Diceros bicornis minor: one gene and its partner. The protein of the gene in region 2 purifies or fractionates together with the protein of the main gene of each other region. This does not show direct contact. Links are inferred from orthologs where the notes say so. Each region holds a gene or a part of one and is shown on either strand. Other genes may lie near its edges.

Region 1 (3,905 bases), on a different chromosome or scaffold from region 2:
ATTTGGTAGAGAAGAGGTTGAAAGGGGAACACATACAATTCACCTAGTCAGACTGTTTGAACAGCATGGCTTACTGTGTGGCTAATACCCCCAGACCGTAAATTCCTTGAAAAGTTCCCAGGTGCCAAGCAAAGAGGTCTAAAACAAATCCCTACTTCAGCACGTTCTCGCATTTATTTTATCCATCTGAGATGGGCCCCAAATTCCCTAAAATGAGGCTCACTATCACATCCCCTTTCAATTAATATCCCCTCTCTCTCTCATGGAAGAAAGCTATTTTACTTTCCGTCTTCTCTCTCTCAAACTCTGCGCATACAACCCCTCAATCTCTAACCTGTTCCCTAAAAAGGAAATGTTCCTTCCACCTCTCCAAGTCTACACCCTTCACTCATTCTCTTCCTTTCAACCTTTAACAAGACAAAGATTTCCTCTCCAGTGGGGGGATGGGGGGAAGGGACACCTTCCACCTCTTACACCCCAGTCTGCATATTTTTCTTCTCAACTCCCAGTAATCTAGTTTATTTTAACAACTCTATGAAACTGCAAGCACAAAGGGTCACTGACTCTCTAAAGCCAAATACCAGTTGACCACTCTCTTTTTCTAAGCCCCTGCCCTTTTCTGTTTCTGCTGGCTCCTCGGTGGTCCTCCACCTCCAAGAGGAGTTCAAGATTGTGCTAAGACCCTACAGTCTTTCCTCCCTGCAGCCTAAGTGATGTCCTTCACTCTCCTCTGTAGAAATGACACCAGGAAACCATCTTAGACCTTACTTTTCTCCCAAACTCCATCTATGCATCTCCAGCAACCAACTAAGATTAAGCCCTTGACTCTATCTTCTTCAGCCCTTCAGTTTTATCTCCCATGTCCAAAATCAAATTCACCAGAGCTTTCCCAGGATTCCCACCCCATTTGCACTTCCCCTTCCCAGGCAGCCATCTAGCTCTGCTCATTTTACCATGTTAATATTTCAACTCCTTCCGCCACCATGGTTTGCTTCTTCCCCAAAGCTTAAAAGTGACTGCCATGTGTGGAATGAGACGTTATTAGACTCCCTTACCATGGACTAGCACTTACCTCGCCACTGACAGCAGTGCGGGAGAGGAAGGTGTAGGAGGAGGAGAGGAGACAAGCTCAGCTAGCACCACTGCCCTCATCTCACCTGCCACAAAGATCCGCATTTCACCCCAGGTACCAAACCTTCTCTTCATAAATTTCTTAGAAGGCCCCTCCAACGTCCTGAATAAATCTATTAAATAAAGTCCTTTACTTTTTGATCAGAAGGCATCATCACTGTGAATATTTTAATCTAAGGATCTCAGACCGTGAATGTTATCTAAAAAACCAAAACCAAAAACCCTTCCTATCCAGGTTCCACAAGTTAACTTTGGCAAAGTATCTGCCCCCAGGGCTTAGGATAACAATGAAATAATCTAGGTAAAACACCTTCTATAGAAAATTGGTTTTCTGAAAGGAAAACAAGTGAAAACTTGACCAGGTAAAGGAAGTAACTAACAACTTGTGCCACAATTTGCTTCCGGAAAGTTGCCTGTTCTTCCTGAGTCTCATCCCAAGCTACGCTAGGCAAACTGAACAGTCTGATCCAGCTAGTTTCCTCGGAATCATGTCAGTGCTGCTGCGGAGCTGAAGAAGAGCTGCTTCCAGACAGCAGTCAAACTATGAAGTCGCAGGAGCGGCTGTTCTGTCAACCCACAGCTAAGAATAACATTCGACTTTCTAATTATGAAAAAAAGAGTAAAAGTCAGTCTCCGAGCCAAGGATTATGCGGCAGGGGAGGATGAAGAGGCTTCCTGCACTGACGCTCTTATCACACAGACCCCTGAGTCCAACGCAAGTGGAGCACCTCCCGCCCGCGGGGACGCCGGGAGACCCCGGGGCCGAGCGGGGCCAGGGGGGGCGCCCAGTGCAGGAGAGCAGAGAATGCAGGTGCGGCGGCCCGGTCCCCACGCACGTCTATCCCGGCTGGAGCCCGCGGCGCCGGGACGGGTTTCCGCGTGGGTTCGCGCTCGCTCTTAATTAACGAGGTCGGGGCAGGTTCAAAGCAAATCGGGCGAAAAGAGGAGGAAAAGTCACAGGCGCCTGGGGGGGGTCTCCGCGCCTCGGGGGGGGGGGGGGGGTCCGGGCCCTCCGGATGCTCCCGCTGTGGCCTGACGGGCGCGGGCGGTGGGCCTGCCCCGCGCGCCCACCCGGGCCCCTACCGTGGCTCTGCAGGATCTCGTGCTTGAGGCCGCCGGTGTAGTCGATGAGCTCCTCCAGGCCGCGCTCGCACAGCTGCCCGTAGCCCGAGAACTTGTGCAGCACCTTCTCCAGCTCGCGCTCCACCGTCACGCACTGATCCATCCCGGAGGCGGCGGCGGCGGCGGCGCTCGGCTCCCCGGCGCCCGGGTGTCCGCAGCCGTTCGGCCCGGGCCCGGCCGAGGCCGCGTCCTGCTCCTCGTCCCCCAGGCGGGCGGCGCGGGCGGCTGAGGAGACCGAGGCGGCAGGCGCGCTAGCCGCGGCGCCGAGGGAGCCCCGCACAGCCCGTGCCCGCCTGCCCCATGGCGCCCCGGCCCCCGACGCGTCGCCGCACTCCTGCTCGCTCGTCCCCCACCCCGGCCCCGCGCTCCCGGCCCCTGCTCGTCGCGTTCAGCTGCCCGCGGCGGCGCCGCCGATTGTTTTTGTTTTCACGGGAACCGACCGATGACCTGGTTCTCCCGGGCGGCACCAAGCGCCGCCGACCCGAGGGGGGGCAGCCACCCCAGCGAGGGAAGGAGGCGGCGCGGGCCGTACCAAGAGCACCCTCGAGGGGGAGCAGCACGGCGAGCTCGGGCGGAGGAACGCGACGGTCGTCAGCTCTAAAGGTGTGGGCCGTACCACGCGGGAGGCGTGCAAGGGAGAGGGTGAGGGTGGAGCAACGACCCAATTGGCCCGAGGAGCTAAATAGGGAACTTTGGAGACAGCCCCAGCGCTCCGAGAGCCCTACGACTACGCGCTCCGTAAACAAGAGGGTGGAAACAGTCCCTAAACGCTCCGCCCCGAAACTGGGAAAATGAGCCAATGGGCGCGGGGAATAGTAAGGCACCGACGTTCTCCAATCCCTGGCCGAGGCGTAAACCTTCAGCCAATCCGGAACGAGGGGCCAAACCAATAGTCTCGCTGTTGGAGGGGTGCCTTAGAGAGCATATAGGGAAGCAAGTCATTTCTGGAAACACGTGAGGGAAAACGAGACAGAAGTACAAGGGTCTGTTTTCCATAGGACTTCGCTCTAGCCGTAAATTATTTGATCTCCCCATCACTCCTGGGGGTACTGTCATTCCGAAGTTTTGGAAGACTGACTCGCTGCCCCGGACGAAAAACCCAGCCGGGCCAGGCGGAGTGGGTGGTGCCGCTGTGGGGGTCGCCAACGAGAGTTAAAGGCGCGGGTGACTCGGGCGGGCTGAGGGAGCTGCTGGCTGGCGCGCGCCGGGAAGGGTTCTGGGCGGCTGTCAGTGCAGCCTGGATGCTTGCAACACCCGGAGGTCACACTCCCCACCCCCCCGTGGCCCTGGCCCTTTGGCCCCTGGGCCAGAAACCTCTCCTGACCGGTTGCCTCACCCCCGTGCCTTGTGCGGGCAGCTTCGCGGAACGCAAAGAACTTGCGTGGCCCCTGCCTCTTAGGCGCCCTACTCCATAGACTCGGATCGAGTTACCCCCTTTGCGTAACGCCTTGCCCTGACGTGGTGGGGCGCCTCCACCGTGGCCTGTATCTCCTTGCTCACTAAGCTTCAGCCTCACTACCCTTAGTTCCTCCAATGGCCAAGCTAGTTACTGCCTCAAGGCCTCTCTGCACTCGGCCTTCCCTCGGCCTGGAAAACTCGTGCTCCTTTCTCATCCTCAAGTTCTCAGCTCACTTGTCTCAGAGGGTCCTCCC
Region 2 (3,905 bases):
AAAAGGAATGAAGCATTGACACATGCTGTGACATGGGTTGAACCTTAAAAACATTATACTCAGTGAAAGAAGCTAGACACAAAAGGTCACATATTGTATGATTCCATTTACATGAAATGTCCAGAATAAGCAAATCTTAGGACAAAAAAATCAGTGGTTGCATACGGTTGGAGGGGGGTGATGGCTAAGGGGTATAAGATTTCTTTTCGGGGTGATGAAAGTGTTCTAAAATTAGATTGCAGTGATGGTTTCACAACTGTGTGGATATACTAAAAACTACTGAATTGTACTCCTTAAATGGGTGAATTCTACGGTATGTGAATTATAACTCAATTAAGCTGATATGAAAAAAAGCAAGCTTGAAAGAGGCTGAGTTATAAAAGGCAGAAGTATTCTAGGAAGGTAGAGTCCAAGAAACTAGTCCTGGCTGAAAAACCAGATGATGGGGCAATTCACATGCCACTGACTTGTTTCAATGACTGACAAACAGCTCACCAATCCAGATGCAGCGCAGCATTCCTGGGCAGGACCACCCCCCGACCCGCCACAGACATCCTCCTCAAGTGGCTTCCAGCCATCGCCAGGTGTCTGCTCTGGGCTGCCCTGAGACATAGCAATCGTGCACCAACTCAATCACCGCTTCCACTGGCTCACAAGGAAACTGGCACCTGACAGGAATTCAGAAACAACACACTAATGACAGCAGTTGCCACAGTAACCAGAGCAGCCTTCTCTCTGACACTTAGCTACCATGCCAGTTGTCCCCCAACCACATCAGAAACCATCAAATTTAACAATGGGCACAAATTCAAGATCATTCCAAACACGACCACACCAGGGATCTCACTTGCAGAATTTTATAGTTACTTGAAAAAAAAAAAAAATCCTGTACTTTCATACTAAATTCTCACATTTTAAGCAAAAGGGATGGGGGATCACCACGTGAGGCCTACAATTACGAAGACAGAAATACCTCAGTCACAATAGTTTTTCACTTACAATAAATATCATGGCTCATAACAGAAGTGTAAGTTTATAGACCAAAGACACAATTAACATGAAGATGTAGTTTTCCCAGTCAAAAAAAGAGAAAAATATTTATTCCAACAAAACAGTAAGAAAAGAGAGGGTGATCAATGCTCTGCAGTTAGCAATAAGAAAATGCTCTCAGTCTTTTGGGTGGAAGATCTACTTGTTCAGAAGAGACGTTAAGATTTAAAACTTCAAAAGAGCAAAGGGCAAGCCTAAGGAAAAGACACATCCTACATTCTGTCCTCACATGGGAGCAGCAAGGCAGCAGAGTAGGACCTCAAAGCTTCTGTAAGGCCTTTCAAGGGGACAGCTGTTAGGACGGGCTTCTGGGAACAGCCTAGGAGATGGGGTGTCAGGCTAAGGATAAAGGCGCAGAGGGAGGGGGGAAGTGGGTCCTAAGGCAGGCAAGGGTAGGTAGAAAGGAGGAACAGTTTTGTAAGGAAGGGAGAGAAAAAGGAGCATTAACCACTGCCCATCTCCTTTGGCTGGGGAAAAAATGCCAAATGTGTTACCACTTGCATGAGAGGGATGAGGTGCAGGAAAGGGCCAGGGCAGGTGAAGCTGTAGTTCCAAAGCTATCAGGGGCTGGCAGCAGACACTCAGAGATCCAGGTCAAATCGGGGGAGGTGGATAGACATGAGAAGGAACTATCCATGTGAGAACTAAAACTGGGTGAGTTAGATTTCCAGTACATGGGTATCAGAGACTGGCAGGAAGCCTGGCTGTGTAGGTAAGGGTTAAGAACAGGGAAAGAGGGTCCCCTGGTGCCAAGAAAGGAGGAAGACGAAGGCATGGGGTGGGAAGATCTGGGTAGGCAGGCCAGGGAGACTGGGAGCAGACTGGAAGTGGCCAAAGAGGGGTAAGGAGTATGAGAAGCCTGGGGCAGGAGGCCTGGGTGTCCCAGCCAGGAAGAGACTGGAGCAGTAGGGGGTCCCATGACACAAGACCTAACATACTGTGAGGAGGCTCTCCCAGCAGCACCCAGGATGTGAGTGCCTGGTGTTGGGGGAGGGGGCACGAGCCAGGAATCAGTTGTAGGTTGTGGGCTCTCAGGGGCTAAAGGGGGTTGGGTGCTCCCAGATCTGAGGGGGCTGATTAAGCTTCGTCCCAAAGACGAAACCCTAGGAGGAGGAGGAGGAGGGCCCCAGAGCCTGAGGATTCCTGGGAGGGAGGAAAGGCGGCAAGGAGGCATGTCTCAGGTCTGGGAGAATCAGACATGGGCCTAGCCATGGGGAGGGTCCCGAGTCAGGAGAAATCAGTGGAGAGCTCCTCAAGATCTGAGAGGGAACGAGGGAGGGCCGATCTTTGGGCGACAGGTCATGGAGAGGAAGGACCCTGGTCTGAGGGTGGCGAGTCATAAGGGGCTTCCGGATCCCAGGCGGGCCGGTCACGGGCTTCATGTCTGGGACAGTGTTCAGGGTCTGCCAGGAGCTGCTCACGACAGGCTCCGGGTGTGAGGGGGCAGGTCAGGGTTGGGGTTCGAAGCGTGTGAGACACCAGCTGGGCAGGTCCGGGGGTGAAGCGCCGGGTGCGGGAGGCCCGGTGGCGAGGGCCTGGTCCGCGGCTGCGGGCTCGAGGAGCCGGGGGCGGGCACGGCCCGCGAGCGCCGCGAGGAGGCCCTCGGGCCCGGCCCGGCCCGGCGCTCACCTGCAGCACCACCTCTACGTCGTACGAGTTCCCCTTGCTCTTCTGGTGGCCGCGGAACTTGGAGCCGCTGTAAAGCAGGCTGGTGGCCACGCCGGGCTGCTGGGTGTTGATGGGCGGCGGCGGGATGAGCGAGGCCGCGGAGGCGGCCGAGGCACCGGCCGGCGGGGGACACTCGGTGCGGACCGGCATCGCGGGGTCCCCCGGAGCCAGGGCTGGGGGGAGGGGAGAGGAACCGCCGCCGGCGCGCGGGAGCCGCGGAGGGTGGCAGGGAGGGAGGGGCCGGGGCGCGCGCGCGCGCGTGGGGCTGGGGCGGGAGGGGGGAACCACCCGCCCGCTGCCTGCGGACCAAGCGCTCCGGCCGCCACCGGGACCCCGGGACCTGCTAGCAGGGCCTCCTGGTCCTGAGCCGAGTCCCCCTCCCCACTTGCCCTCGCACACACACCACCCCCTCCAATTGGCTCGAGCGCGCCGGGGGGGCGGGAGCAGGCTCACGCGGCGCTTCCACCCATTGGCGGGTGTAGAAAACACGTGGCGAGATGCGCGAGGGGCCCTCTGGGACTTGTAGTCTTCTTCCCGAGACGCGGCGTGGAGGGGGCGGGGCGAGGTGCGTTTGTGATGCTGATTGACTGGGGGTGTGCGCAGGATGCGCGCGCGAGCGACGGCGCGCCGTTGGTGTCATGCGGAAGATGGCGGCGTCCAGGGCAGGCTGAGGGTTCTGGGGCAGGCAGTGAGAGGTTTCCGTACAGCCGGAGCCTGCGGATCCCTTCGCTCTGTTTCCTGCTCTCAGGTTTCGCGCCTGTCGTCCTCCCAGGCCCTCGGGTGCGATGTGGAGGACCTGCCTCCGGCTGCGGGACGAGGGGCGCCGCCTCCTGAACGGGCCCCGGCGTGGCCTCATCGCCTCCGTGAGGCCGGGGCCAACCCCCCCGCCCCAAGCCCGGGCCTACGCACCCCCGACAGGTGAGGGAGGCCAGGGCACGTTCCCTTTTGGCCAGGGGCGAGCCGGGCTGAGAGGTTCGGCCGTGCAGGCAGAGGTAACCGAGTTAGGGGTCGGGCTCATGAGGTTACGCAGGTCAACAGGATCCTGTTACAGATCGGGAAAGAGAAGCCCAGGCCAGAGCAGGGACCACCCCAGGGCACAAAGCGCGTCCCGGCCGGAGTCAGTAATTGACATTTAGGAAGTGCGTCTTTTCTCAAAGCTTGTGGCTTTCCTCTCTTCAGTAAGGAAA

Evidence for each region.
Region 1: the proteins of GID4 (region 2) and RMND5A purify together in Homo sapiens (affinity purification with mass spectrometry; 4 studies listed by BioGRID and IntAct, counting the BioPlex papers as one, with this or other methods). This does not show direct contact. The link is inferred for Diceros bicornis minor from reciprocal best matches to the Homo sapiens genes GID4 and RMND5A.

The regions. Positions count from the first base shown.
Region 1 is NC_080751.1:3,339,338-3,343,242, forward strand, and holds the start of RMND5A (E3 ubiquitin-protein transferase RMND5A), read right to left. Parts: upstream 2,538-3,905; 5' UTR 2,357-2,537; coding exon 2,215-2,356; intron 1-2,214.
Region 2 is NC_080757.1:1,437,393-1,441,297, reverse strand, and holds the start of GID4 (glucose-induced degradation protein 4 homolog), read right to left. Parts: upstream 3,032-3,905; 5' UTR 2,869-3,031; coding exon 2,680-2,868; intron 1-2,679. Other genes in the region: ATPAF2 (ATP synthase mitochondrial F1 complex assembly factor 2), read left to right, coding at 3,504-3,636.